4 linked regions of the Lepisosteus oculatus genome follow. The protein of the gene in region 1 interacts with the protein of each later gene in a biochemical or structural test. Links are inferred from orthologs where the notes say so. Each region holds a gene or a part of one and is shown in the gene's direction. Other genes may lie near its edges. The genes, in order: ptpn6, kita, platelet endothelial cell adhesion molecule-like and ros1.

What was found.
Region 2: the proteins of ptpn6 (region 1) and kita form a complex in vitro, tested with the Homo sapiens proteins (2 studies listed by BioGRID). The link is inferred for Lepisosteus oculatus from reciprocal best matches to the Homo sapiens genes PTPN6 and KIT.
Region 3: the proteins of ptpn6 (region 1) and platelet endothelial cell adhesion molecule-like form a complex in vitro, tested with the Homo sapiens proteins (2 studies listed by BioGRID, with this or other methods). The link is inferred for Lepisosteus oculatus from reciprocal best matches to the Homo sapiens genes PTPN6 and PECAM1.
Region 4: of the proteins of ptpn6 (region 1) and ros1, one has a biochemical effect on the other in vitro, tested with the Homo sapiens proteins (2 studies listed by BioGRID and IntAct). The link is inferred for Lepisosteus oculatus from reciprocal best matches to the Homo sapiens genes PTPN6 and ROS1.

What each region holds. Positions count from the first base shown.
Region 1 is NC_090718.1:2,757,481-2,765,278, forward strand, and holds the start of ptpn6 (tyrosine-protein phosphatase non-receptor type 6), read left to right. Parts: upstream 1-4,797; 5' UTR 4,798-5,503; intron 5,504-7,798. Other genes in the region: CD209 antigen-like protein C, read left to right, coding at 77-178, 1,080-1,253, 2,036-2,187, 2,764-2,870, 3,393-3,552. UniProt on the Homo sapiens protein: Tyrosine phosphatase enzyme that plays important roles in controlling immune signaling pathways and fundamental physiological processes such as hematopoiesis.
Region 2 is NC_090696.1:78,571,306-78,578,377, forward strand, and holds the start of kita (mast/stem cell growth factor receptor kita), read left to right. Parts: upstream 1-4,066; 5' UTR 4,067-4,160; coding exon 4,161-4,224; intron 4,225-7,072. UniProt on the Homo sapiens protein: Tyrosine-protein kinase that acts as a cell-surface receptor for the cytokine KITLG/SCF and plays an essential role in the regulation of cell survival and proliferation, hematopoiesis, stem cell maintenance, gametogenesis, mast cell development, migration and function, and in melanogenesis.
Region 3 is NC_090704.1:45,207,529-45,215,465, forward strand, and holds the start of platelet endothelial cell adhesion molecule-like, read left to right. Parts: upstream 1-4,927; 5' UTR 4,928-5,022; coding exon 5,023-5,125; intron 5,126-5,238; coding exon 5,239-5,265; intron 5,266-7,937. Other genes in the region: rptor (regulatory-associated protein of mTOR), read left to right, coding at 98-166. UniProt on the Homo sapiens protein: Cell adhesion molecule which is required for leukocyte transendothelial migration (TEM) under most inflammatory conditions.
Region 4 is NC_090697.1:32,854,121-32,861,428, reverse strand, and holds the start of ros1 (proto-oncogene tyrosine-protein kinase ROS), read left to right. Parts: upstream 1-4,301; 5' UTR 4,302-4,362; coding exon 4,363-4,374; intron 4,375-5,159; coding exon 5,160-5,257; intron 5,258-5,956; coding exon 5,957-6,465; intron 6,466-6,748; coding exon 6,749-6,958; intron 6,959-7,308. UniProt on the Homo sapiens protein: Receptor tyrosine kinase (RTK) that plays a role in epithelial cell differentiation and regionalization of the proximal epididymal epithelium. NELL2 is an endogenous ligand for ROS1.

The sequences.
Region 1 (7,798 bases):
AACTTCCCTGTTTCCTTATGTCCCAGAGTGAGACATCAGCGTATGATCTTATGTCTCCTCATGTCTGTGTTCACAGTGAAAGCAGGGCGCGGGCCCCCTCCTTACAGACTGATCGCAGTGTTTCTGGGGCTGCTGTGTGTTGTTTCACTGACTGGCTTCATAATCCAGTCTGTCTACTGTGAGTATAACGCTGTGTGGAACTGTAGCCGTTTAATAATAATAATTATTACTAAAATTATTATTAATAATGAAGTCTCCCCCACTGTCCAATGGTGTGGTAGTGATTTTTGATGTGATAAGATCCGTGGATCTTTTGCTTCTAATTGCTAATCTAATTGCTTTTAGGAATTTTTGAACAATCTGATCTGTACGGATACCACCAATCAAATAATAATAATAATAATAATAATAATAATAATAATAATAATAATAATAATAATAATAGTAATTCCTACATTTATACAACAACTTTTTGGACACTCCACTAAAAACACTTTACAGGTAATGTTCTAGCCCCACCTAGATGATGCACCAGTCCTCTCCCCACACACCAGCTCTTAGTGGGATGGAGAGCAGAGTGATGAAGCCAGTTCAGAGAGGGGGTTATAAGGAGGCCATGATTGGTAACAATCAGGGTAAAATTGAGTCAAGACACTGGGGTAACACCCCTACTCTTTTCAAGAAACACCCTGGGATTTTTAATGACCACAGAGAGTCAGGACCTCAGATTAATGTCTCATCTGATGGACAGCACCATTTTTTTACAGTATAGTGTCCCCGTCCCTATGCTGGGGCATCAGGACCCGCACAGATTGCAGGGTGAGCGCCCCCTACTGGCCCCACTAACACCTCTTCCAGCAGCAGCCTCAGCTTTCCCAGGAGTCTCCCATCCAGGTACTGACCAGGCTCACACTGCTGAGCTCCAGTGGGGCTGCCAGCGCTGAGTCACAGAGTGATCCAGCTGCTGGCTGAGAACTTGTGTCGCTGCCTGAGTTCCTTTGTCAGCAGCTTCCTGCCGGCCCGATACCAGTGCCTGCGTGCTTCCATATGGTAAAGACCGAATGTCTATTCCCCACCAGGTAACGGATTCCTTCACGTCAACCAATCACAGAGCTCTCTACCAAGAAGGAACGAGCTGGATGAGCTCAGTGCAAACTATTCTGCTCTGGCTGCTGCCCATGAGAAGTTAGTGGAAGAAAAAGAGGAGTTAAAGAGAGAAAACGAGAGACTCCTGTCCCTGAACACAGATATCAGTAAGCACTTTCACATGCAATGTTACTGGAAAACAGGCATGATGGGGACTTTTTTATTCTGACACACAAAACGAATCATCTCTGCTTTGTTCTGCACAGTCTGCTCTCCCCAGTAGCTGAGCATGCCTGATAGCACAGCTCATTCGTGCTCACGAAGTTACCTACTGTATCTTACTGAAAGCATTTCCAGTGTAATGAAGGGGGGGTTGGTTGTTCAGTCCTGTGACGGGTCAGCCCCTGCGAGGGGCAGAATAACTCTTTTGTTCCATCCCGCTGCAAAATCCATTTAGCATCGCATTGATCTCCAGCACCTGGGTCGCTAAAGCAATTAAGCACCCATTGAATTCATTTTGTCAGAAAGGTTATAAAGTCAGGACAGCGTGTTGGCCCAGTGGTAGGCATTGCTGCCTTGCGTGGGTGCTCCAGAGACGTACTGGTAAGTTAATGAGCTGCTGGAAGAGCATCCCTGGTGTGAGTCTGTGTGTGCCCTGCAATACACTGGCGTCCCTCCCACAGTGTATCCTGCCTTGTGCACGTTCCCTGCCGGGATAGGCTCTGGCTGCCATGTGACCATGAAATGGATACAGGAGCTTAGAAAAGTGATCTGAAGGAGATTCAAAGTCCTGGCAGGGCATTTAGACACGTTTGTCTAACCACTGGGACAAACGGAGGGCTGGGATGTCCCCATACACTCAAGAGACATGGGATTGAAGTACACTGTGTTGGTCAGGGAACTGGACTGAGAGGAATCTGCTGTCACTCTCTGCGTTCTCCCTGTACAGAGAGGCTCTGCAAACTGTGTCCTCAGGACTGGGAGTTTTTCCAGTCCAAGTGTTACCACTTCTCGACTGGCAGGCTGAGCTGGAGGGACAGTCAGGCTGACTGCAGGAGCCAGGGGGCTGACCTGGTGGTCATAGACAGCAGACTGGAGCAGGTAAGTGACTATGAAGGGGAAGGGGGGCGAACGCAATTGGGGAACCATAGCGTGTTGACAAGAGATGTTTGGGAAGAAAGCTAGGGCCTGATCTTGCTTATTTCCTCCCAGCCATCTCCCTCTCTCCCTGGGACCTCCCTTCACTTATCTCTCTCACACCCTTGTGGCAGCTCCTCAGCTCATTCCTTGCACTAGTAACAGGGCGGGAGGGATCAGCCTCATCCTAGTAGCTAGGCTGCCTTTCCCTCAGCTAGGAGAGTAGGACCCACATGGACTGCAGGGTGAGAGCGCCCCCTACTGGTCCCACTAACACCTCTTCCAGCAGCAGCCTCAGCTCTCCCAGGAGTCTCCCATCCAGGTACTGACCAGGCTCCCACCTGCTGAGCTCCAGAGGGGCTGCCAGGGTGATGTGGATGTTGGCAAGTTCACAAACAAAGGGAACTAACCTACGTCTCCCCACCAGACTTGACCATAGCACATCGATTGTATTTGGGTGGGGGGTTTCTAGTAGCGCTCCCTTTGCTATCACGTTAATAACCAGCATCACGGATGAGTAACTCTGTGTCTCCCGCTCAGCTCTTTATATCGAGACAGAGCAAGGGAGGCAGTTACTGGATCGGACTGAGCGATGCCGCCTCCGAGGGCACCTGGCTGTGGGTGAACGGGGCCAGAGAAACCGGAGGGTGAGTTCGGCGGAAACGCCACCGGCCCCTGACTGTCTGGGCAGAACCGGGAAGAAACACACGCGATGGCCGCGGAGAGACGTTAAATGGAGAGATTCTGCTGTTATTTTATATTTTGTTAGACCTGATTCGGCGAAAGGGTGTGTTTTTCCTATTAATCTGGTCATTATTTTGGCGAAATCCACAGAAGTAAATGGTCCGATACCGCTCCTGTCCATTCGTGCTTTTAAGGTCGAATTGCTTTTATATTTAAAGAATCAAAAGATAAGACGTGCAATGGAAACATGTTAAAAGCTTTATTTTCAGCTTTTGTCACTGAGAATTCCCCTGGCTGTGAAGGGCGTCTATTTCTGTATCGGTTTGACTATGTTGTCTCCCTTTTCGTATTTTTGATGTTTCAATGAGAAACTGTTCAGTTCCAGCTCAGTCCTGGAACAGCAGCATCGCGCTTCACTGCTCTCTCCTGCCAAGAACAAACAAAAAGGCCGGAATGAGAACTAAACGTGAACTGGAACTTGACAGGTACTGGATGCCGAGGCAGCCGGACAATCACCGGGGCAGAGAGAACTGCGCCGTGATCGCCTCCCGAGCCGCGGGAGCCGTGAGGAACTGGAATGACGAAGAGTGCGGCCGGACCCTGTCCTGGATCTGCGAAGCCGAGAGTCCCCTCCTCTCCGCTTAAGACGCTTGGCGGCTCCGAGCAAAAAAAAAACACCCGTGCTGCTCTTCCGGAGCCGAGCGCCTCGCCATCAGTCCACGGAGAGCCCGAAGAACCCACAGGGCAGTTTTGGCTTGCGTGACGGCGGTGTGAACAAGTCGTAACTGCGCTTCACGGGCCGATCCGCTCGCTTCGCACTTCACGCAGGACGCAAGCAGCTACAGAGGAGGACGGCAAGGTGATCCAAGGATCACGTAGCTCCAAAACATTCAGTTCAACTCGGCTGCAATTAAGAAAGCAAAAAAAAAAAACAACAACCCGTAGAGATGGGGAATTCTGACCTTGGACGTTATGTGGATTTGGCTATTGAAATTGATTTTTTTTTAATCTAAATGTGCTTTGGTGTTCGCTTCGTGCTCAGCAGCTGAGCTTTTTTTTGTACTTTTGCCTTTTGTACAAGCGTACGGAGCCCGGGAGGGGCCATCGGTGTGTGTGTGATGGGGAGTTATATCGAGGGAACGATTTACGATTCGTGCGCACGAAATAACGTTTTCTCTTTCTTCCGTTTTCGCACGCACATAGAAAGTTTAAAACGCCCGCATTGTCCCCTTCTCCTGACGACAACGCTTTCAAACGCTAGTTAACATGTTTTTATATCGGTACAATAAAGCATATCTGACACTGCTGTAGATAAGGATAATGGATAGAGATGAACTGATTAAGTTTTATTTTGGTTTGGGGATGAGTTATTAGGGCACTGTAGCTACTGTACTCTTCAACTATCGGGACTGCACCTCTCTTTCACTGCTAGTGCCACGTCAGTGCTTGCGAGGGGGTTAGGAAACGTTATTTCGTGCGCACGAATTAAAGAAAACGGGGGCACGATGTAGGTATTTCGTGGGCGCGAATTTTAAGTCGTTCCCTCGATATAACTTTGTTTTCTTACTGATGGTCCGGCCTCCGAACCAGCGCGTCCTCCTGACTCTGCAAACCCCCTCCTGCTGTCGCGCTCCCTCAGATAAATGAACCACTGAGACCTGTCACTACTGCAAGAATCACATTTTGTTCTGAAACTCCAGAGCGAATAGCGTATCGAGTTTTGTAGGCGGTGCAATAAAAACCAATGTGTGCTCCTGTGGATATCCGCTTCAAAATGTTTAGAATAAAAAGTTACTATTCTGCACTTGACAGAACATGTTCTGTGCCTTCGAGCTTGTAGTATTCTGGTAGCCATGGTTACCCTCGGTTCCATGCATTCCAGTGGCTATGACGACCATGGATTTGCGGAAGGTGCGGTGTAGTGCTGTACGGCAGAAAAGCCAAACTACAACTCCCATCAGTCTTTTAGGCACGCTGGGCTTTTGCTGAGGGCTCATGGGTATTGTAGTTTTTTTTGACCGTGCCATTTGGTTAGCATTAAGAGGTCCTGGCAGACTGCGTGTTCACACACGAATCGCCCCGACATCATCGTTACTACACTTCTACAAACATCCCTGCCGACACTAGGGGAGAGAGTTCAGTTAGTTCGCTAGTGCTCTCTCCACTCGCGATACCTCCCCCCGTGGCTGTTACACGACCCCGGAACCACGCAGAACCACAAACCAGGTGCGCTTGAGGGGCAACCAGCCATTTTCTCCCTTTCTATCTCTTTCTCACCAGCTCTGCAGGGCTCCACTTCACCGTTATACTAACGGCTCACAAACCTAGTTAATATGTAACTCGACGAGTACAGTTTATTGTAAAGATTTAACCAGCGCTAAGCTAATAATCCATTCCCCTTTCCGTTGACATTACAAGGCTACCCAAGTGAATCATTAACTGACGCCGTGTGCCCCCAAGTGTGCAGAAGCCAGCGCTTCGTTCGCCAAAGTGCGCATGCTCTGCCCTCAAGCATACGTCAGCGTGCTCGCGTATAGGATAGCCGTCGGTGTCGAGTGACCCAGCAGCGCTGTCCGGAGGAGAGGGAGCTGAAATGGTAAAGGCACATCATTCATTTATCTCTGTGGTGCAGCCGTTCCTGAAATAAAACCGAATGGGTGTCGCTGCTGTACCTTTCTGTCTTTATTTTGAGCTCTGTAGCTTTCAGTTCCAGTGTATCGTATGTCAATAGCAAGCATATCAGTAGTTCTGATGTGCTCTCTTCTTACCTGTTCAGTCTGCGTTGAGTGCACGTAGCCTACTCTTATTGCGTTAGAGACATACAGTATACACACAACAACGTGACCTGAACTTTTTAAACTTGCCCATTGCTTGAAATACGGCAAGTCGCCTTAGACACGCATAACAAATTCGTCCCCATTTTTTACATGACAAGGTGTATTTGCAAAACAGCCGCTGGGGTGCCCCCAGAGAAGCTTTGCAACTTCCCCGTGTGTGTCGCTGATGACTTTTTGAGCGGCCGTGTAGTAAAACGGAAAAGGATTGGACAGGAGGTTTTGAACGGTTCAATGGGGTGTCAGTTTGTATCAAGGTTTCGATTGGGAGTATGGGAAATGTAGTCTTTCTTCAGCCGGACTGTGTATACGTCAAAGTCCCTTCTTTGAGAGTTTGAAAAGGTATTAATCAGCATGGTGCCGAGCTACCAGAGACACAGAGAATAGCTTCTTCTTTGGTAAATCGCAAGAAAAGGTTACAGATTACTTTTAAATAATGCAAATTATTAAAAGAGTTGTTATTGGTTTATCAGCATTGCTTCAGATTATGAAACGTTGCTGTTTATCTCTAATACATTAAATTACGCTCAAGATGTAAGGGGATTTTTCGCAGAAAAATGTAAATCGGAAAACAAAGACCCAAATCTCTTTTATGGTACTGAAAGATCTCACCTTTGCTGTTTCACATTTCAAGGGTTATTATCGTCTGGGGGAAGTTTGTTTTACGTCATGGTCCAGTACAATAATATAACAAGGAAGACAAAGATTAGATAGATAGATAATACTTTATTAATCCCGTAGGGAAATTGATGTGTTACAGCAGTCCAGCCCAAGACAAGCAAAACAGACATCAGAATAGTTATAAAACAAAAGACAAACAAAATAAATAAAAATAAATACATAGGTGTGTGCAAAATGTAATCAGAGAAGACAGGACAGTAGTGCCCAAGGAGTTCATTTACATTGTTTGGGACAGATATTGCAGAGGGGATGAAAGATTTCCTAAATCTGTGACTTTTAGAGTTGGGGACACAGAGGTACTGTATCTCCCCAATGGTAGTAGTGTAAATTCACAGTGAAGCGGGCGAGACACACTCTCCATAATGCCCTTGGTCTCCTTTAGCCATGAAACCAAAGCAAAATTTAGCACTATATCTTTTATTATCTCCCTTATTTGCTGTATCACAACACGTTGCCCGTTGGGGATAATAAGGACTCTCTCTCACATGCTGTTCTACATATTTGGTGAGTTGAACTTTTACTGAATACTGTGTAAATTATATTACAAAAGGAAAATAAACAGCTCGATTAAAGCTATACCCGAGTGAGATGTTGAAATGTTTGCATGCAGAAGTTTATTTGTCCGCTTTGCGAGTCTGATTAGAGCTCCGATCGTGTGACAAGTGTTATATTGTTACTCAGCAGAGAAATCAAATCGTTTCATTTCAATAGAAACGGATTGAATGGCGGGTGGCAGTCTGTGTGGAGTTTGCATGTTCGACCAATGTTCGCATGGGTTTCCTCCCACATGCTGGGCTGCTGCCCCCTACTGGACATGGGGCTGTACTTCCACGAGTTAGCAGACGCATGTAAACAATAATTATATACATTACCTCTTGTAGAATAAATGCTTTTATCTGGCACTTAAAAAAGCTTAAGAAGGTCTTATTGCAGAGTATGTTTTCTGTTGTTCTATATTTTTTACTGGCGTCTGTCTGACAACGATATTTCTAGCTTTGTAGCTGGGTTAAATATAGAGCCATGCGTGCTTTTGGAAACTACAGAGTTCTGCTCCGTGTGTGGTGCCAGTGTGGTGTCAGGAATATAAAAGTGTCTGTTTTATTTAAATTAGCAGATTTTCTAAATTGATTACTTGTTGTTGACATCAGTTTGATTATTTGTGATTTAACACAATACACATGCACAAGAACTAAGTGACATAAACAAAATAAGTAAAGTCCTTACACTTATGTAGTGCCTTTCTGGACACTCCACTCAAAGCGCTTTACAGGTAGTGGGGATCCCCTCCACCCCCAAGCAGTGCGCAGCCCCACCTGGATGATGCGACGGCAGCCATAGTGCGACAGAACGCTCCCCACACACCAGCTCTCAGTGGG
Region 2 (7,072 bases), on another chromosome or scaffold:
TTGTTTGGTGTTATGAACTAAAATTTTGATCTTTATTTGTATTTTTGTTGTATGTTGCTCATTAAAGAAATTGTGTATGGATACAATGAACAAATATATACATATAATGTAAAGATACATTATCTAACAATGTCTATGTCAACTAAAAACAGGAATAGTTCCTTGGTATAGTTTCCTGAAGTGCTTCAAGACAGGAGGACAGGCATCAAAGAGATTATTAACAAGTACAGGAGGCAAGTTCCCCCACAGAGACATGTGAGCAGTGGACGAGTCTGGGGGAAGAGGCAAGAGGAGCCTATTGGATCATCACTCCACTGGCAGAAAAATGGAAAAGAAATGTTCCCTCTCATTTCTTAAGCTTTTTTCTGCGTGGCAAGTTTTTGCAGCCTTATTAACAAAAACATCATGAGTCTTTGACTTCTGAGTGTGTACTTTAGCTGGTTTTGTCTTGTGTATCAGATCCTGTTTTTTAATGCTACGAAATTATTTGGGTCTTGTGTAGACTATGTCATTCACAGATGCCTCTAGACTCTGCCTCCATAATGATAAAACAACATGACTGAACACATTAACACATCGCAGCCAAATTCAGGATGAAATCCCCCACACCACTGTGAGATTCCACATGTTGCAATCAATGCACCACTTCTGGTCTCACAACCGCATTCCACTGGTGCTTCCTTACCACTCTAACACACTTTCTATCCCCAGGACCATTATTAACAACTACTCCATTTTACAGGGTTATCCCTTCATCGATACCCTTTTTTCTGACCGCCCAATCATCTCATACGGCCTGTCACGGGAGCCGGTCTTGACTCCCGTGTAGTGCGTATTTAGAACCCTGTGCAGACGGTATAATCTGGAAGTGACTGGAAAAGAGCAATGGGGAAGACTCAGAGAAGAATGGATGGGAGGACTGACAGGGGGTGGTTCTGAACAAGTCCATTGGGAGTCCAAAAGGGAAATACAGTCCAGGCAGCTGGGAGATCAATCCAAGATGAAGACAGGAAAAAAGGAATCCAGGAACATGGAAAATAAAACCATAACGAAGCAAGGCGCTCCGAGACCCAGACTCAGATGGTCAGGACGCCTGGGGAAAAGGCCTTGCCCTCGGGCTTCTCCTGAGCATGGTGGATAGTCGGGCCTTCAGACATTCCTCTTCCAGTACTGAACCTAGAATTTAGGAGGCACATGACTTTTATAGTGACGGATAAAACAGGAGACAGGAGCACGCAATCATGGAACTAATACTAAAAGGTCGGAGCGCCCTCCAGAGGAGGGATGATGACCGTGACACCGCCGACCACCCAATCTACGTAAACATCTGGTTCTCAGCTCCCTTGAGCGCACCTTCGGCACCTTCCCCAGTAATAGAACTTGCTACATCACCGGCAAATACACACGTTCATTCAGGGCCCCTCAGGTCAATTCCGAATCACCCAGACAACATCCTGTTCCTCCAGCAACCTCACTTACTGTATGTCCTGCAAAAAATGCCCAGCTATCTATGTTGGAGAAACCGGAAAGTAGGAGACCGCTTCAGCGAACATGTTCAGGCTGTGAAGATTAAAGATTTCTCCAAGCCCATAGTTTCTCATTTCACTTCAGACGGCCATGATCACACTGATCTCACTGTCTCTGTTCTCAAAGAAGGGTTTCTCAATTCTCATAGAAGAAAGACAACAGAAACAAAACTCAACCTGAAACTAGGTTCACACCTTCCCCCTTCTCTCAATGACCAACTTATTTTTGTGTAATCTTCTCTATTCTCATGCAGGTTTTGACTTCACACCTTTCTTCACCTTTCTACACTTTGCACTTCCTGAGTGGCCTTTCTGCCTCTCTATCCCTCCCGCCTCCTCCCCTCTCTCAGTTTTTGTTCTTCGTGCTATTTAATCTTTGCTGTCTGCCCTGTCTTTCTCACACCTGAAGAAGGCTTTACAGCCAAAATGTTGTGTTTTCTCTCTTATTTTTTCAGCATGGAATACTACTTGTTTCAATACACCCTAATATTAAGTAAACCCTGCAGCCTTGACAGATATGTGTCACCAAAACACTACAAGGAACTTGGGCAAAAGGATGGTATCTCATGGGAGTATGTGAAGAATATCTGTCTCCCCTTGGGTATCCCCAAAACCACTCAGAACAACCGGTCAACACTTCCAAAATTCCTCACTGTGAAATGGCAAATTTATGATGGAAGATACAACAGATTTCTTTTAAAATGTAGGCCTGACATTTATATTATGTTTGGCTTTGGCCATTGGCAATGGCAGCTACTGTATACACTATAGATACTGGGATACTGCATGGATGGATGCAAACATGAACGTCAGTAGGCATGCCTGTGTCCTTGTTGTTGCTACGCATGCTGATGCAGCCTCCTACTTGAACTACTTCATAAAATGTTGTTGCTTTTGTGAATGGAAGCACATTTTATGAGGAAGAAATAATAAATGTTGAAGAACTCTGACCTTTATCCTCATTATTATTCTGATTCTCTTAAAAAAGATGTTTTACCCTTTGCATTTTCACTAACAACATTGGTTTTCTATACTAACTTGAAGGAGCCTAACCCACTACATACACATGAAAACACAGCTGTTCAGCACAGAAACACAAATATCCACAGAGTTAATGACATACCAATAGACCTCAGTGTCCCCCACCCAGCAGTTCAAAATCCCACAATCCACTGAAACAAAACAAATATACACGGCCAATGAATTGACTATATAGAACATTATATATATATACAGTACAATTATAGTAGAGTTAAAAACCATAGTTTTTATCTTTTTAAATTGTGTGCGACATGTATTGATCACACTTGATCTTCTTAATAAGTGTGTAAAATAACTGACAACATATGCTTATACCCTTGGGAACTAATTGTATTTTACATATTTATGTTGAAAAGAAGACAGATTAGCTCCTGGACACAGATTCCTGGATCACTGTTCAAAGTCATAAAACCTGCTTATGTCTCAGCCCCCAGAGAGACACTTGGTGGGCAAATGTCATCATGTCTGCCCTGATGTCAAATCCTTTTATACAGTTGTACTAAAGAAGGATATCTGCTACAGCTGTTGGCAGAATTTTGTACATCATTAAAAATTCATCTGCACAGAAATAAGAGGAACGTGAATTCCAAATCAGCAGACACTGTGTTCACTGAGAATTTGACATACTGTGAAAAGAGGCTTTAGAAGCACCGAGTTCTTGGAGTTGTTTGCAACCACTACTATGAAGGTAACTTATTTTTTAACAAAATATTGTCATATTTAAAGTGCATTTTACCCCGAGGTAGACACTGAGCTCTGCAGACAGTTTCATATTTGTTCCAGTCAAGCACCTTGGCAGCCACCACCTCTGGTGTGAAAGACCAGTCAAAAACAAACAAAAAAAGGAACTGAAAGACAGGAATTTGGTCACAAAGTTCATTTTCTGACACTATAAGCATCTTTAATAATTTCACTACTTAAGATGATCAAAGCATTACAAACCACAGAAAATTGTCATACTGATTATAAAATTATACTGCAGATATTAGAGATGAATGATTCAATGCAAAGATATCATATCCTTGAGATCTGCAAATGTTGACTTCAAAGCCCAATCATTATGTGAGGTGTCACTTATACACTGTAACTAAACAAAGTCCACATAAAATATGTATTTTATACGAGGTCAACTAGAATAACAAAATCCCTGCTTGTGGGACACTTCCGTTGTGCCCAGTGTTTCAGGGTACAGAAAAACTGACTAGTTTGCTTTCGAGGTGACAGTAAGAAACTAGTGTATTAAAATACACGAATTTAGCATTAAAAATAAACTTTGGCAGCTGAGGTTTATTTTGTTAATGTTTTATTGATATATTTACAAGTTCGTTTAATTTTTTTGCAGTACTGTAACTTAGTCTTGTAAAACAATTTAATTATCCAATTAAGCCAATCATATTACGTTTAAAGGAACTTTCTTCTTTCTTCCTTCCTGCGGTGGTGTCTTGGAGACAGACTGAAGGGCTGCTGGTAGGAAGTGTTCTGCGCCTTTAAGACTTGAATAGGTGGAACGAAGCAGGCTGTAGTGTTAAGTGCTGCGCAACTCAGGCGACAAAGCAGATCTATAGCAGAGAGGTGGACAAACAGATAAATGGAATGTTAACAATGGGATATACCTGGGTTTCGTTGTTTACCTTGATGCTGTTATGGTTTGAAAAAGGTAGGGTTCTTCACCGGTGAAAGCAGGCTGAAGTCGCTAATGCGTGTTGTAGGAATTTGATGATTTATCAGTGATGCTTGAACGGAGCAGGATTTCACTTTAAGAAATCTAAGTTTAATTACATTAAACTAAACTTAAACTAAAGTTTTTTTTAAGAGGATGAAGTTACTTTAATTGGGGATGTCAAAATCTTGTTTGTGTATCTCAAATGGTTAGTGTATAATTTAACTTTAAATTGTTTCGATTCTCTGCACCTAACATAGGAAAGCACTTTCTCATTTTAAATTTATGTGAACTGGATTAATAACATCTATCAGCACAGGACTCTATAAAATATTAGTTTTAACCCCTAAAGTTACATTATTCTTTCATGCATATAATATAGTGAATTATTTATGATATCGGTGAAAAAAAACTACAGTTCATTAATGTAACAGTTGTTTGCTAGTTGTGGAAAAAATGTTACATGTATTTAGACTTTTGCTCTTTTATTTAATATTTACAAAAAGTTATAAAGAGATACATTACAACAGAGCACCTGTAATATGAATGTCGTACTCCACGACACCACTGGCTTACGTAGCAGGATAAGCGCATCGGCAGGGGTGCTGGCGCTGAATTCGACTAACAGCTTAATTCGTTAATAATTTAAAACATTTATTGTACAACAAATTACATATCACTAAAATGCTGTGTGTTCTCCATTCTCCTCTTCGTAAATGATCTATTTAACCACTTTTTACATGAAGAAATCGATTCCTTCTTTTCTGTCGTTACAATACAAAAGTACATTTGCATGCTTGCTGCACAACATACCATGTTATTAAAAGGCGCTTCGGAGCAGACTGACTTTGTTGTTAGGTACGACAGGTAACGTGGAGGTGGAGCATCAAGGAGCGGCCGTATTTGTTTTAAGGGTGCTTTAAAAACTGCCTGGACACGGATGTAGGTAGTGTTTCATTTCGGCAGTGAATGGATCACGCCTTACACAAGACAAACTTCCAGCGCTTGCAACTCGTATGATAGTAACGTACGTTCATTATAAAAGCAACAAAGCTTTTGCTAAATTAAAGTTGCAACCGTAGCCCCTTTGAGGAAAACGGTTTGGAAACGTGATACTAGTAGTACGAGTAGTCAGAGCGCTTTGGCTGGACAGTGAAGCGGTAATTTGAGCAAATCTAAATGAATATACCATAGCCTGATGTAAAGGAGCAGACGTATTTCTTTTCTCTTGAAGACAGGGATTGTTGTTACATTCGTGGAGACAGTTAAAGCTCAGTGTCCAAGCTGTATCAGTCTGGTCATCAAGGACTTCACGGAAGAGGACAGGACTGCGTGAATTTATGTATGCTTCTGTTTTCGCTCACAAGCTAAATCCCCAAAGTGTTTTTCTCTGCAGTAATAACAGGCTTCCCATTTAAACAAGTATCTAATTAGTCTGTATTGGAGAAACACCGTCTTATCCCACAGCCTAATGCTACAAATCTGACTTTTTGCGAGGCTATAATCTTGCATTAGTAGTTTTAAAGCAGTTAAGCCATCCAGCCCTTGTATCAAAAAATGACAAAGAGTGTGTTCTTATGTGCTTTTGACTGCACAATCTTTTTCTCTTTGGATCTTTAAACAGTTGCAAACTCGGTGAGGAAAGGCGGAAGGTGTGTGACTGGAGGAGCAAGCAAAACAAACCTAGTCTGCGGAATTTACAACTCTGTACATGTTTACATGTACAAAATTGTAATGTAATTGTCATGCAATACATGATTTGAATATAGTCTTTTGTCTTGTCCTTGCAAGTCCGATGGTCACGATTGTTCATTGTGGACTTTTTATTAGCCCTCCGATTTAGAGGGTACGCAGGGTAAACCTTAGAGCTAAAATTAGGCATTTAGAATCTGTCCATCAGTCTGTTTTCTACACTGCTTTATCCAGGACGTTGTTGTGGGGGAGATGGAGCCTATCTCAACAAGCAAAGGGTGCAAGGCAGGATACACCCTGGATACACCCAGTCTATCGCAGGCCACACACACACAGACACACTCACACCAAGGCCAGTCTTCCCAGAAGCCAGTTAACTCACCAGTATGTCTTTGGACTATGGGAGGAAATCCACACAAACAAGTGGAGAATGATATGCACGCTCTAGATCGCACCTCTGGTCCTGAATTGAACCCAGGACCCCAGTGCTGCGAGGCAGCGATGCTGACCACTGTAGCACAGTGCTGCTCTACATTTGGAAATTAATCTATTATTTGAAAGTGAAAATAACATAAATCTGTTTGCCTTGAAATTATTCCACTATTTATCCCTCACAGTTGCGTGCAGGCTGAGTATCCTGTCAGGCTGTCTGTTGTCTGTCTTTATAACATTCAGTACATAATTAACTTGAATCCAGGATTTTGCAGAACAAAGAAATCAATGACCTTTCATTTACAGCTTCAGTCAGTAGCTTCCATATGTGTATAGTATTTACAGATGTTGAAATAATTTGTACATGTTTTCATGGGGCAGTCAAGGACATTAACTTTCTTATTTTAAAGCCACACAATTGCAGCTTTAGCCTTGTGCTTTGGTTCTCTAGTATATCTTGCGGAAAAGTAATTTTTGTCTGCGTTTTAGATCCGAGTAGGTTTTTCTCTAAGATTTGCCAGTATTTTGCTCTGTCTATGTTCTCATCAGCTTTCTTCTTTTGATGAGAAGCAGAAGAATAACATGGTGCTGCCACCATGCTTGGCGACAGGGGTGGGTTTGACTGAGTGATAATCGATGTTGTATTTGTGTCAGATATAACACTTGGCATGTAGATCAAAAGGGTCCAGTTTTTTCTTGTCTGATCACAAAGCCTTTCGCT
Region 3 (7,937 bases), on another chromosome or scaffold:
TGGTGTTCCTGGTCTTGTTAAGGGCGTGCCCAGCTGCTCGTCCACACGGCCGTGAGTTCTGCATCATGTGTGACCTCGCTGTTCTTCTCTCTCGCAGCCCCACCTGGCGGTCGGCAGCAACGACTTCTACATGTCCATCTACTCTGCGGAAAAGAGACTGAGATAACGCCAGCACACTGGCCCCTGCCTCACGAACCCCCGAAAACTGATGTAAATTACTTATAGTGTACATATCCAAATACCAACTTGAATGTCTAGTGATGGCTGCTGCTACTCATAAATTGTCATTATTATTATATTATTATTATTATTATTATTATTATTATTATTATTATTATTATGAGCTACTGATTGTAGATTTGGCTGTGCTGAGGAGCGTGTATATTTATTTGCCTATACAGGTTATAGAAATATTTTAAACCACACAATGGGGGTGCGCTGCCTTTGTGGGTTCCTTGCTGTGTGATCCGCGCCTGTCCGAGGACGGGGGGGGCGAGGGTTTGTCGCTTGCACCCCCTGAAGAGGGCGTGGCGCGGAGTGGCGGGCGGCCTTGCAGTTTATCGTCCCGCTGGAGGCCCTGCGAGGGGGCGTGGCACACAGCAAAGCAATAAAGTGTCAAATTGACAATTAAGACTCCCACTGTGGCACAGCCTTATCACTAAGTTACACCCGATGGGGATATCTGGTATTGCGCCCTCGTGTCTGAAATAACTCCAGTAAGGACTCGGGTTGCTCTTGAACCAGGAGATTCCCTTCGTATAGCTGTTTGAGCTATGAAATTGTACTTCAGCCCTTTTCACCTTTTATTGTTCTTGTTCTTGTTCTATCCCGCTGTGCTGACGTTCACGCTGGGATGGTATCGGGTTTTGCTCCAGGGGTGTTTTGACAGCAGAACTGTGATCGAAGGGGAGAGTGCCCCCGCCCCCACAGTGCCCCCCAGGCCAATGGACGGGCCCCGTGTGGAGGAGTGGCCTGCGCGTGATTGGCTCTCTCTGGGTCCGTCCCCTTCCTCGTTGGGTTCCTGCGCCCCTCTCAGGACCTCCCGGAGCGGGCAGCCGCGAGAGAGAGAGAGAGCGCAGCCGGTGGCCGACTCCCCCTGCACCCGTGGGTGATGGGAGTGTGGCACTGCCACCCAGCCGCTGCCAGGGAGTTTTAACACACCAGCATTGCCTTCCTTTCAGGGTGGTGGTTTTTTTTTTCCTGCGTCCTCCTTCCCTGTTGGGCTGTTTCGTGCCGACCGCAGAGGGCCCCCTCTGCCGCGTGCGACCTGGGGGAGCCCGGGTCTGCGTCTGACCACCCCCCACCCCACCCCGGCCTGTCGGATCACGAGACAGACCTGCGGGCCTCGCTGCAGCGCTGCACAGCGGGCCTGTGTGTTGCGCAGAGGCTCGTATTCTGGACCTGCTGAGGACGCCTACCCCTCCCTCCCTCCCCCCTTCCGATTAAAAGGGATAAAGGGATATTGTCTTCTACGAGCGACGGACACGCTTTTTTCCGTTGTTGTTGTTTTTCCTTCAGAAGACGGGGGTTTCATTGCGAACGTCCGTTTGTAGGACGAGGATGACCGAGCAGGAGGTCTCGATCCGGTCTGTGCGCAGGAGCGGAGGCGACCGCGGAGGCCGTGGCGCAGGGGGAGGTCGCCCCGCTGCCCGCGGCTTCCCTGCGAGACTCGGAACCGCACAGACTGGTGCTTTCACACCCCTGCTTTGTCCCGACTGACTGTGTGCGTGCGGGGCTCCACGTTGGATCTCGTTGTCCAGCGGCGTTCATATTCAGCTTGTATCACGTATATTAATCTGTTAATTGCATCTCTTTGGGTGTGCTTTGTATGTTTTTGTTTTTATTATTGGAGATTTTCTTTCTTTTTTTGGGGGGGGCTTTTTAGTTTTTGGCTTTGTGAACCGGACTCCTCCCTGGGCTGTGTAGGGAAGACATTAGGGGTGAACAGGGTGATGGGCCACGCGATGGCCTTGGACTTCTTCAAGCGGTTAGGCTTCCCAGTTTTTTTAAAATGTGGTAAAAATCTTTCATCAGTTCAGATATCTGCTTGGCTTGGTGTCTCTGTTTGACTTGTCATAGTTAGAGAGGATACTAAAGGCTACTAAAGGAGGCCCACAGACTGGCCTGGCCGCCAGCAACACTTGGTCTGCTGTCTAATCCACGTATTGTGCTCCACTTCGCACTATCTCCCCCTAGTGGAAGGGGGGTGGCATTACTAGCTTATATTCACAGACAGCACAGCTCCCACTGTCCAGCCACTATGTCCTCCTCTGTTAAAACCTGCTGTGAGACGTTTTAACATTTTAGAATAAGAAAAACTAAAACATATATATATATACACACGAATGATTTAAAAAAACAATCAGGTGTTCTCCTTGGCTGTAGAGACTGCTTTGTTGAATGTGGTTTGTAAAACAGGAGAAAACTCGGCAATGAAATAAACCAAATACACACGAAACCTTTTTCACGCCTGTTCCTTGGTTGCGCCAGTGCTTGGGCTGAAGATCCTGCCTGTCACACAGTGGGCTTGACCGCGTCTGCTGAAATGGAGTGAAAGTACCGGGGAGGCGCTGCCCTGTATGTAGATTTTGCTACGTGGAAACATTTTATTTTTTTAAGCACATCAATGAACAAAACCCTCCACCCTTCAAAGCTCTTTGTTTAAGCTAACGCCAGACACTGTAGATTGTGTTATCAGTCCTGTGTGTCCGGCAGGCGCTTAGTAGTTTCATGTCGGATAACTTTCATTTCATTAGCTTTGTTTCTCTATTCAAAGTCTGGGATCCTTGAACTACACAGCCCTCTTTTATTTAGGCCTAAGGTGGAGAAGGGAGGCATCAGTGAAATCTTCCTGCTGCATACTGGTACGTTATGTCAAGAGGGAGATTACTAACTCTTTGCATTTCTGAGGGAGTTTCCTTTGTAGAAATGTTAACCCACTGCTATCCGTGCTCGTTGCTTTCAGCGCTCAGAGGAATGAGGTACTGTATAAGAAACACTTGGAAGAAAGTGCATGCCGTACACCAGAGGTTCGCCAGTGTGGAATGTGGAGCTTCTCCGGTTCTCGGGACCTTTTAGCACCCCAAAGTGCAGGAGATCCCCCTGGAAGGAGTGTTGGGTTGTTGTGGGGTCACAGGGAGCAGAACACCCCTGAAATGAGACCAGAAGGTCAGGAATGGACAGAGCATGAACTCGGCAGAAGAGGTAATGCTCTTCTTCACATTTCCCTCAAACTGGTTTTGTCGTGTTGGGGGTGTGTAATGCGAAGAGCAACACACACACACCTGTTTTGCTTTGCAGCAAGTGGCAAAGCTGTGAATGCAAAAGTAATCCTTGCTAGCGCCCTTAAGTCGCTCACACTTTCATCAATCATGTTTGCTAGAATCAATAGTGTTTGTAAGAAAAGCAATAGTTCCATCAAGCCAATAAGATGAACAATAAATCCCCCCAAAATGCGATTATTAGACCAGATTATAGAAGTGTGCCGAAATGCAGAAAAAAGGTCAACGTTGCTCTGAATGTTGGTTGCAGGGGTGGCTCAGGCAGCGACCATATGTCTAATCTGATCCCGGTGCATGTGAGCAGAACCTACCCCAGCCTGACTCTATTGCAACCCTCTCCTCTCTGTGCTGGCGCGGAAAAGTCCAATCCAGACAGGTAACTTGTGACTTGTGCCTGCAGTTGGGTTTTTTTCCCCCATTGTTAATACACCGAGCAAGCAGCAGATGGAAGCCCCTTCGACTGAGGCTTGCCTTGTCATTCCCACACATGGCCAGTAGAGGGGGACCAGGTGTTTAGTTTGAAGCCAGCTGGATGGGCATCAGAGACGCAGGAGTCCAAACACAGCAGCACACAGGAGTTTGACCCTGCTGAGCAGGAGGCTGCTGCCATCTCAGGACACGGGAGGGTGTTCAGAACGAAAGGGCAGTCTGACTCATAAACGGAGAAATAAAAAATAACTTGACCTCCCTCACTTCTCCTTTCACCAGCCCTACCAAAGACATCATAGATGCACAGACAAGATACTCTTTTCGCACTTCAGCTAATAGTTTCTCACGTGGGTCGACTACACCCTTAACCGTCTTCACATCTGAAACCACCAGACCAATTTTCAAAGAAGCAAATGGTCACGGGATCACTACCAAATATATTTTCAGAAACATACTTCACAGTGTCTGTTGTGTTAGACCGTGGGAACATATGTACATGCATGTTCTCTTCGCTCTCTGATGCAATTCTTAAAGCAGGAGGGCACAGGTGTAAACCGCGAACAGGAAGGACTGCTTTACACAAAGGGTGGTGGGAGCGCGGAACAACCTACCCAGCCACCGTGTGGAAGGCATTAGCCTGGGCTCTTTCAAGCACTACAGAAAAAGGTATCCCTTTAAAAATATGTAAGCTATATATTAAAGTTATTTTTAGTCAACACTATAAAAGGAGTGAACTTATTTTAGTGTTGGTATTTGTGTCTCTTGGTCATGCAAATAATATTCCAATTTAAACAAGCGAGGGATTGGGAAAACAATATAGGATTTAGAGGCTGATGGGCAGAAACAAGTGGGATCTGCTACTGCTCAGACTGGGGAGGAGAGTGCTGCACATATTCTGCAGTCAGGAGAGAGGCATCCTTTATGGACCAGACCGTCTGGAGAGACAGGGCTGCAGGAGTGTGTGTGAGGCAGGTGGGTGAGGGTGGGGGGGGCGTCTCGGGGCACATCGGGTCCAAAACAGGTTCCTGTGCCGCTGGGGGGTGCGAGAGGAGTGTGCTCCACAACGAAAATCCCAGACTGCGCTGAGCTGGAGCGCACATCCTCAGGAAGCAGCAGTCACTTCCTGGAAAATTCAACAAAGCCAAGAAGGTTCCGAGTGATAACTATAGCCCCCCCGCCCTGCACAGGCTCCAGCCTCCACACACACACACGGACTCACACCCCCCTGTGCCAGAGCCTCCCTGCCGCTGCACTCCGGAGCTCGGCTCACTCCCTCCACACTGGTTGCCATTTCAGAGACACCACCACAGCCATGGGTTCTGGGACCAAGGCTCCTGCGCCAGGGTTCGACAGGAGGACTCCAGCCTCTCCCGGGATGAAGCGCTACTTCTTCCTCGCAGTGGTTCTCCTGACCTGTGCGTGCAGACACGAGTGTTATTTTCAGTTGTCTGATGGTTTTGCTTTAGAAATCCTTTTCAAACACGACTGTTAGAAGTGAAATAATTCTCTTCTTTTTTCCCCACCCCAGCTGTACCGGGTGTCAAACCTCACACTGGTAAGTGTGGAAATTTTATTCCTTCGACAGTTTTGTTTTAACCTCAGGCAATTACCATCTTTTTATGCAGGAAAGCAGAACAAAAACACTTTAATTCACTTAGACAGGACAGCCAGCTGAAGCACCTTATCTCCTCATCCTCAGTCAGTAGTTATCTTTTGGAGTGGAAATTTTCCCAACCTCTGCTTCCTCTGTTTTGGGCTGGGAAAATGTTGTATTTGTGGACGGAAGAACTAGCAGAGGAAAGAGTGAAAACTCACGTTTCTGCTTTGTCAGGGCTGCTGTTTTGTTTTTGCTTTCAAATCTTTTCCTCTATTTTATTCAAAAAATATTTTTTGAATAGTTTTTCAAAAGCACAAGCAAACGTGTTCTAGGGTCACCATGTTGTGTCTTTCCATGGTGACTCTTGAGCTTCTGGGGGTCCGCTTTGTCCAGCGAAGGCAGCTGGTAGCGGCACAAGTGTCCAGAAAAAAAACGTACAAATAATTATTTTAGAAATGAATTTCACTCAACAGTTCACAAAGCCAGGGAGGGGACAAAACTTTTCTTAAGCCGTGAGACACCGACGTCTCATTTGCGCAAAATTAGTACTGAAAGAAAAACAACAAAAAGTCAAAATCCAAAGCTGACGTGTACATTTTAAAGGACTTCAGAATCTTTTTTTTTCTGAGTAGCTACGTAAACCTGTTCGATGAAGGTGCTTAAGAGGTTTGCAGTCTGAGGCTTTGAGGGACATGTTTTTGTAGACTGGTGATCACATGAATTGTCTGAAATGAGACGTGTGAGAAAGAGAGGAGTCAGTTGCTTGATCTGATCCCATCAGCCCATGCTGGTGGTGCAGGAGCCAGGATCCCAAGGGGGTGAATCTCCAGTGCAATCAGGAGGTCGGGTGCTGCTTAGTGTTAAACAGTGGACTCTGAGGCTCATGTCGAAGAGAGCAGGCAGTGGGGATACAGTTCATGGGCCACTCCTGTTCGCTGTGCTACGGCCTGGCCGCTGGTGTTTGTGGCTTGGCTTGCTGTGGCCCTGGGTGGGACAGGATACTAAAATAATGCTCCCTGTGCCTTGTGCTGCCACTCCCCTGGGGCTCTGATTTTCTGTTGCTCTAAAAAGGCGGCTTTCCTTCCTGAGGCCTCCTCTGTTTACTGATGGGGTCTTGGCATTCCTCTGTTCTCGTAGGAAAGGAATTCTGCTGCAGCACTGAGCGCGCGGGGCTACAGGACAATAGAACCGACCTCTTGCCAGAATTGTTTCGAAACCTGTTTTTTCCCCCTCCTTCGGCATGGTTTTCACGACTTCATGGCAACCTGAGAGCCTTTAGGCGTGGATTTGATTGTGCATTTAACCACTCTATCGTGTCAATCAGCCACAGCAGTATTTTTAAACAATGAGAACATTACAAGCGGTAGCACCTATAAGTCAATTGACATTCTCCCCGCAATATTCTGAACCACTAATAAAGGTCCTAAACAAGAGAAGGCCATTCAGCCTATAATGTTTAGTGTGTTTAGTAGTTACCGTAGTAGCTAATTAGCATTTCAGTTTCTTGTTTGAAAGAAGCCGGGGCATCGGTTTTGAGATCATGGCTGTGTGCTGTAGCTTATTTCAGACTTTCACGCGTTCCCACACAGTTTGCACTTGTGTCTGCGGGTCCGTGCTGCGCTGGTGACCGAGGTCCTCGGGGCTGATCTTGTCGGTGCCTTCGAGGGTTTGAAATACTTGAATCGGGTCCAGTCAATATTCTCTGTTAAAGACCAAGAAGGTTGTTTGTTTAGCCCATCAGTCGAGGACAATGCATTGAGCCCAGGAATGTATCTGGAATAAGTGCGGAGCAGCTATATCGTCTTGGTCATTTTGGAGGGGAAATTTGTCGTCTTTAGCAACCTGTAAAAAACTCCAGCAACCTCTAGTAAACACCCACAGAGAATTATATTGTATGCTAATTGTCCTGTTTTGGTATCACCAGTGTGTCTCACTAGTTTACTATCAGAATCTAGATCACTTCTATAAATTAGGAAGAGCACTGGATCTAATATGTTACCTATTTTTTCTTGGAAAACCCCTGACCGACATTCATTTCAGCCATGAGCTATTTACCTTTCATCAAGCACAGGATTCTCCTTGATTATCCCTGAGAAATGTAACTTCTCCCCTTATCGTTCCTTTACTGTAATAATGCAGAAAACCTTTCATTATTTATTTAGTGTCCATTGCAGTATTCTTTATCAGCTCTTTAAGAAAAAAAATATCCTTTTGTACCAGTGCACAAACATGGGTTTGGTCCGCACATAAATTGTTGTAGAATTTACGACGCATATAAAAGATTGTTAATATTGTTTGTCATAAACAGTAAAAATGCATTTGAAAAAGTAACATGGACTACTACTCATATATTATCAATCTTTTTATGTGAGTAAATACTCAGTAATGCTTTCTATACAATTAGTAAGAAATGATTTGGGGAAAAACTAATAATAATAATAATTAATAATAATAATTGCTTACACTTATATAGTGCTTTTCTGGACACTCCACTCAAAGCGCTTTACAGGTAATGGGGATCCCCTCCACCACCCCCAGTGTGCAGCCCCACCTGGATAATAATAATAATAATTGCTTACACTTATATACACTGTAGCGCTTTTCTGGACACTCCACTCAAAGCACTTTAC
Region 4 (7,308 bases), on another chromosome or scaffold:
ATTCTTTTTAGCTAGATCTGAACCACATGCTTGAAGCATGTAGTTTCCAGTTTCCCACTCAGTGCTTCTCTCCTTTTGTACTGAAGTTCCCTCCAGTGCGCCTGTGATACAGAGTGTTGCCAGCCTGGGTCCTGACACTGTGGAGATCAGCTGGTCCCCTCCTCTTCATCCTGGAGGACCAGTTGTTGGCTATAATCTGAACCTCCTCAGTGAGAAACAGAGTCTCCATCAAGTTGCAGGGAGCAATGTCTTCCAAGCATCTTTTTTCCCAACACTCCCCAACACTACATACAGGTAATCTTTTTCAAAAAACTTTCTAAGAACTAACCTTGAATTGTGATTTGTCTCTTCTCATGTAAAACTAAGGACTATATGATAAAAAATCTAAACAGAAATGTTTCCTTTTATGTTTTAGAATTATATAAAAAATAGTGAAGAGTTTCATTAAAAGTGTAAATGAAACTGTGTATTATGAAAACTGACATACAGTACTTGTGTAACAAACTGCAACACAATATTGTTTACACGTCAGCTGCATTACAGTAACAAGCAGCAGCAAACATAATAATCTGTAATTCTTGCATTCAAAAGAAAAAAATTCTAATAGATTAAAAAACCTTAATTAAAGTACATTGTGTTATTAATTTACTGTACCTTTTAATATTTAAATTCTGTCTAAAGAGACCAGGTTATCTATTATTACTTCAAAGACATAACAAATATTAAATCTGTATTAAATATTAATTAAACATTTTATTATATAAAGTGACAAGAGAATATGGATTTTACATTTACAATAGATTTAATAACTTTAATGTTAGTTTCACTAGTGTTAATACAATTATTTTTATATTTATAGAATTATTTACAGTTATTTAAAGGACTGAGATTACCTGGTTTTGGCCTTTTATAGAACCAGGAAACAGAACTCAAACCTGTACAAGAAGGAAAGGAGAAACATATTTGCCATAAAATAAAAGATTTTACTCTTGTACAAAAGATCTTGTACATAATCTGTTAAAAAAACAGATGCTAAACAAATGGAAACCTTTCTCCCCAAAAGAGTGTATGGTGATACAAGCAAGACATTTATTTCATCTGGGAGGTACAGCTAAAATAAATAATTATTCCTACAACTATAAGATATCAGTCCCTTTCTAAGATACTAAAATCGATCTCTTCAGTGCTCAAATTGCCTGGAAGACTTCTGTAGTCGGGCATTCTGAAGGAGGAACCCACTCATGATACAGTTAATTTTCTTTTTTATACCTGCCTTGACTCCTCTCTTGAAAAAGTCTCTATACTTTTTGGGCCCACTTTTAACTGTACTGTTCCCAGGAAGGCTTAATTACCTCCCAGGTTTGATCATCGTTAAATATGAGTAAAATTGTCTGTTCACCTGGACTCTGGCCCCTGTGGCTTCCTCAGTCGATAAGATAAGGGACACCTATTCTATAGTAATGTGTTCCAGGTGATTTGGTGCACTGAGCTCTCCCATATCCAATTCTGTTCATTTGTAAAAGCCAGGATATTATAGTTTTAAGTCAGTGCTGGAACATATTTAAGATAGTGTGATTTGCTGGATTAATTGTCATAGAACATTATTTTCTCTTAGGGGTGTGGGACAGCACCATATCACCAGACTTTCCACGGTACTCCAGTAAAGTCAGAAAGTTTTACTGATAGGGTAATTCTATCAGTAGATTGTGCACCCGTGCAGAATTGGGAGGGTGTGGGAGATCAGGGGAAGAGTAGATGGCAGAGTTGGAGATAATTGTTACTGAACAACTCATACAGATGAGGGTCCCAATTATGAATAATTTAGTCTTATTAGTTCTGTGGCACAACCCCTCACCAAGTCTTACAGGAACTGCTGTAGTTTGCTAGGAAGTTTGCTGTTTTGCCAGCAGAAGAAGGATGGCGGAGACTAATTAATATTACAAGTAGGGTTGCTGCTTTCTGAATCTGGGCACTACAGAGTTTATAGTACTCTTCTAGTCCTCTAAAGAGACATTACTTCTTCTAGACATTTTCCTTCACAAAGAAGGGAGGCTGCTGTTCAACAGACAGCTGCCATTGATGAATAATAGCAGGTTTGATATCCTGTTTACCTGTGTTTTAGCAGATGGCTTAAGGCGCGAGTTTGAGACTGTAAGGTTATACTGGCTTGTAAAGGAACCAATAATATTCTATTGTGCTCGATCCACAGATGTCTAGTTTTTCCATGTATTTAAGAAGGAGTTCTCAAAGGTTACTTACTGGATGAAAACACTAGAAATTAGAATGCGGTCAGACTAGGGTGGGCAATGATCTTATAGTTTTAGTTTGTGGGAGTGGAGGGAGCATGGATCAGGGGTGCTCAATCGGTTTTCCTCTGGGGATTCTATCCTAAAAGCAGAACCCCCTCTTTTTAATACACTTATTAATGAAAACTTAATAATGTGATCATTAAGGGAAACTGCAAAAATATGGGATTAATAAAGAACTCTGGTTTTATCCTGAGGAGAAAAGGGACTTGTATAAAAGTAAATCATTATAAGGATCTGAAGGATCTTCCTGACACACATTGGACATTATCTTGTATAAGCCACTACTGCAAAAAAAAAATTGGAGATAGAAAGTATGAGATACTCTACCATCAGAGCAACCAATCTCTGAAGAAAGGCATTCTTTCACCCAGGACTCGATGAAAAGTGCCCTCTTCATTTACAGACAGCGATGACATTCAAAGTTTCATACACCGCTTAGATTGAAGCCAGAGATTGAATTATTTTTGCAGGTCTGGGTATATTGTTCACAGGCATTATGTTTATTCTTTGGATAAAGAAATCTAAAAAGGTGAAATATAAGTATGAGCTGGCTAATTTTTTACTGAGACTGGCTCAGCTGGCTATGATTAAGAGTATGATGAATAATGTGACTAATGCTCCAACAAGAGCTGTTTGCTTATTAAGGACTCATCCAACAGACTGAATTGTTTCTAGAGGCATAGGCAAGGGGGGATGTAGTGTGTTCTGTGGCAAAAAGGGAACCAATGTTGACATGGTAGACAGATTGAAAATGACTGATATTGTATTTTTTAATTAATTAACAAGGTTAATTTTAATTGTGATGTTGTACATGGTTATTTAATCTGCACTGCATTATGTCAAGGGTAGTGAATGGATGACTGTTGGTATTTTTCTGGTTGAGTTTTGGGGTTTGCCATTACAATTATATGTGTGGAGGGATGTTGATGAGCTTTGTTTATATGATTTTCAAAATTTAATGGAAATAAATGTTTAAGACCTGAAAAAATCATCCTTCTCTCTGGAACTGAACTGATGCTTAGACATAATGAACATGCTTTCAAATTTGTTTTGGAAGGATAATCATAGCTGCTGTAAATACAGAAGGAGAAGGACCTGCAGCAGAGAGGAATGGGATAACAACGGCAAAAGAAAGCAAGTACATTTGACGATTGAGACACTTGTCAGTTTGATCAAACTGAAATTAAACTAGAGCTGCAGCTCACATCTTTATGTATTTTCACTTTTTTTTAGCCACCAGCGAAAAACAATGGTTAATTCTGTCACGAATGAATTCATTGAGGAGGAAGACTGTGGCAGATTTATTTTCAGGAGCAGAGTGTCTTCCAACTGAATCAATACAATATAATATTAGTGGCAAGTATAATTCATGACAAAACTAACACATTTTCCAGTGGTTTCACAGAGCATAACTACTACTAATCCTGACATTGCTATTGTTTATTCAGGTGACTATTGCTAATTATCCATCCATTTTCTAACCACTTCTTCCAATTCAGGGTCTCAAGGCAGGCTACAGCCTGGACAGGATGCTAGTGTATCACAGGGCAGACACGCTTACAAAAACTCAGGCCAATTTTCCCAGAAGCTTATTAAACTACCAATATGTCTTTGGACTGTAGAAGGAAGCTGGAGAACCTTGAAGAAAACCTGCTTGAACACGTGAAGAACATACAAAGTCCACACAGATAGCTCCCTGGTTCCAGATCTGAACCTAGGGCCACAACGGCGCATTGCAGAAAAGCTAACCCTGCCACTCCGATTGCTAATTATGCTCTGTAAAACTACTTTTTTATTCTTCCATTACAAAAACAATAAAGAAAAAGATTACTCAGAAAAAGAATATCTGATTCATATTTAAATATTGATTTGTTTTTTAGGGATTTCTGCAAGCTACAACTCCAAACATATTTACTTCTCTGAAGGAACCCACATCTGGAGGAAAGGAGCACTCCATTTATCTGACGTTTCAGATCTGAAAATAGTGTTCACTGGTCCTGTGGAGATCACGTCAATATCCGTCGATTGGCTGTACAAAAATATTTATTTTGTCATGGGTGGACAGGTACAAACCTAAAATTACACCATGTGATGCCTTTCTAAAGTATGTCTTTGTCTATGTTGGTTATGATTCATATATACAGTAGGGTCTTGACATCTGCAGATTTATCTTTTGTGAATCCAAGCTCATCACTCACAGGATAAGAGTCCCACACTCATGACATATCACCCTCGTCACCCACAAACTGGACTGTAAGATCTTGTTAGACCACATGCCTTGGTCCCTCCCTTCATGACCTCTTTCTTCCACGATACTGATTCACATTTCGCGGACTCCAACTTCTTACACTTCTTACATTTTGAATTATATTTGCAGCTCCTCCTCCAGTGTTAATCCTCCTTGTCTGTGATGTTCACTATTTTGCAAATCATAGCAGACTCTACATTACTGATATACATTTGTTAGTGGTCCTTATTCAGATTCCTGTGTTTATCGCTAGTTGCATACATTAGCTTACGCCTAATTTTTAATGGCTAAGAATTTAAAAGTTAAATAGGTTTTATTACACCAATTTAAAATGACTAAGTCTAAGTCTATAATGTAAATGTGCTTTTCAAAATGCACTTTTATGCAAGTACTTAGTCTCCAGGTTTTTAGTCTTTAGGCTTAGTCTTCAGGTCTTTAGTCTTCACTTTTAGAAGTACTTCTAAAAGTACTTAGCCTTCAAAAAGGCTTTATGCATCTGGAAAAAAAGTTTTAGTAATTATATTTCTTTGACTCTCTAATTGTGATGAATTACATCATCATGTGATGTTAACCTGTTATATGATGTTTCCTCTTGAGTTTAGGTTTGCTTCTGCAGTATAGATGACTGCAACAACACAGTGGACTTTATTGCTGCTAACCACAGTTTTCCCTCAAAAATTATTGCAGATCCTTACAATGGGTAAGCATGCATATACAATTCAGCTTACAGATAAAAATTCAGTTAGTGTCTTTGTGAAAAATATGCCAGATTTTGTTTATTTTTGTCCATTTTTGAAACAGAAAACAATATTAATAAATATTTTTTCTATAATTGTACTTATTCTGATGGTGACATTAATGCAGTTTTATGTGTTTATAGAAGAGTTCTGACTGTTCAATAATTAAAGAAAGGATAAATGATTTGGTCTGTGCTTACATAGGGTATACAGTAATAGCATTTGACTGCTGGATCTTGACAAATTGATCGGGAGACTTTAATTTTTTAATTAATAGTATAAAATCAAACCTTCAGGTGTAGTCTTCTACTGACTGTTTCCTTACTATTCCAGAGTAAGTTAAAAAAGAAATTTACAGGACTGTTTTTAAAATCATGGATCCATTGATTGTGCCTACTTCCTTATATGATGCAATATCAGCAAATAATATTCCTCACTTAATGACTTTTCATTATCATTCATGTCGAAAAACTATAAAGTTTATGTTTTTATGATGTTTAAATACCATTATAGCATTATTCATATCCTGTTCTTAAGAAACCATGAACAAACAGTAGTATGGATCATGAGTTGGGTTTTACCCATCTGTTACTGATTTTAAAAACCTTGGTATATAATTTTTACTTCACTGATGTTATTTTTAATGTGCTTTTCTTTTTCAGATACATATTCTTGTTGGTGGATGATGGGATTTATCGAATGTCTCTCCCACAGCTGCCTGGGCAGAAGAGTTACAATGGCTTGGTTGTGAGAAGTGACTTTATTCGAGACTTTGTTGTCAGCTTTCAGTCTAGGCGACTGCTGTATTTTAATGAAAGTGATAGAAGTATATCATCTGCCTTTCTAGATGGCTCATCTTTCAGCATCATTCGGCCCCCTGTAAGTCTGGTAGACCCAGTGATGAGTCTTACTTATGAAGACAACTTCTTCATGCTCACAGATGGAAGAGCAGTCTTCCATGAGACACGCCTTGGTGATCTGTTTTTCTACAATGAATACGTGGTGGACTGTTCTGTTCCTTTTGAGTACTTTGGGTTTGACAACTTGTACTTTTTTAGTGAATTCAGTCAGCCATATCCAGTACCCAGAAGTCCCCAAAATGTTCGGGTCTTGTTTGGATCAAACAATGCTTCCTTGAAGTGGGAGAGACCTGCAGCAATGATTGGATCAAGTGAGTGTGCCAGTACAATGTGTCTTATTATGATATATTCTAATATACTCCAAAGTATAGTAATTGGTTGGGCTGCCATGATTCATATTTTGATGTTCTTTTTCTTATGTAGATCTCCTAACTTAGACAGCCCTAAATATTTGTGTCCAGTGAAGCATCTATCACCATAATAACGATGTATTCTTGGAACAAAATCCAGAAAGAATTGTATTACTTTATAGCTGAGTATACTGATAATACATTTTCAAAAAGGGCACTGAAATCTAGATTTTCTTCCCTTAAGGCCCTGCTGCCTGGCAGAACTGGACATACACTGTGAGGATTTCTGCATTTAATTCATCTGTGATAAAGGAGTACAGGGACATTGTTGACACACAGATGGCTGCTGAAGAACTGGTGAGTTCCAGCAGATATAAAATGACTATCTGGGCAGAATCACCAGGAGGGAGAAGCCCACCTTCCAAAGCATTTGAGGGAACAACACAAAAAGAAGGTGAGATATAGCAACTATAGCAACTACTTAGCATGGGCTGTGTAAATGCAACATTGTATAATAAAATATATTATTCTTCAAATGATTCCAAATAGGTAGCTGTAGAAGTCAAGAATGAGTAAAGAGAAAGCAGTTTGCAAATGGTAGAACGTTTACACAGAACTAGGTGATAAAACTGCCTTCACAGTTGGGTCTATCTCAGTGTTTACTGTTAGTAACTACAGTACCTTTGCTGATGAACTAAACTACTGACTGAGCAAAAAGAATTGGCCTCCACAAGTACTTTTCATTAAATTATAGAAAGCAATCATCAGAATTTTACAACGAGACATTTGTTTTTACAAATGAAG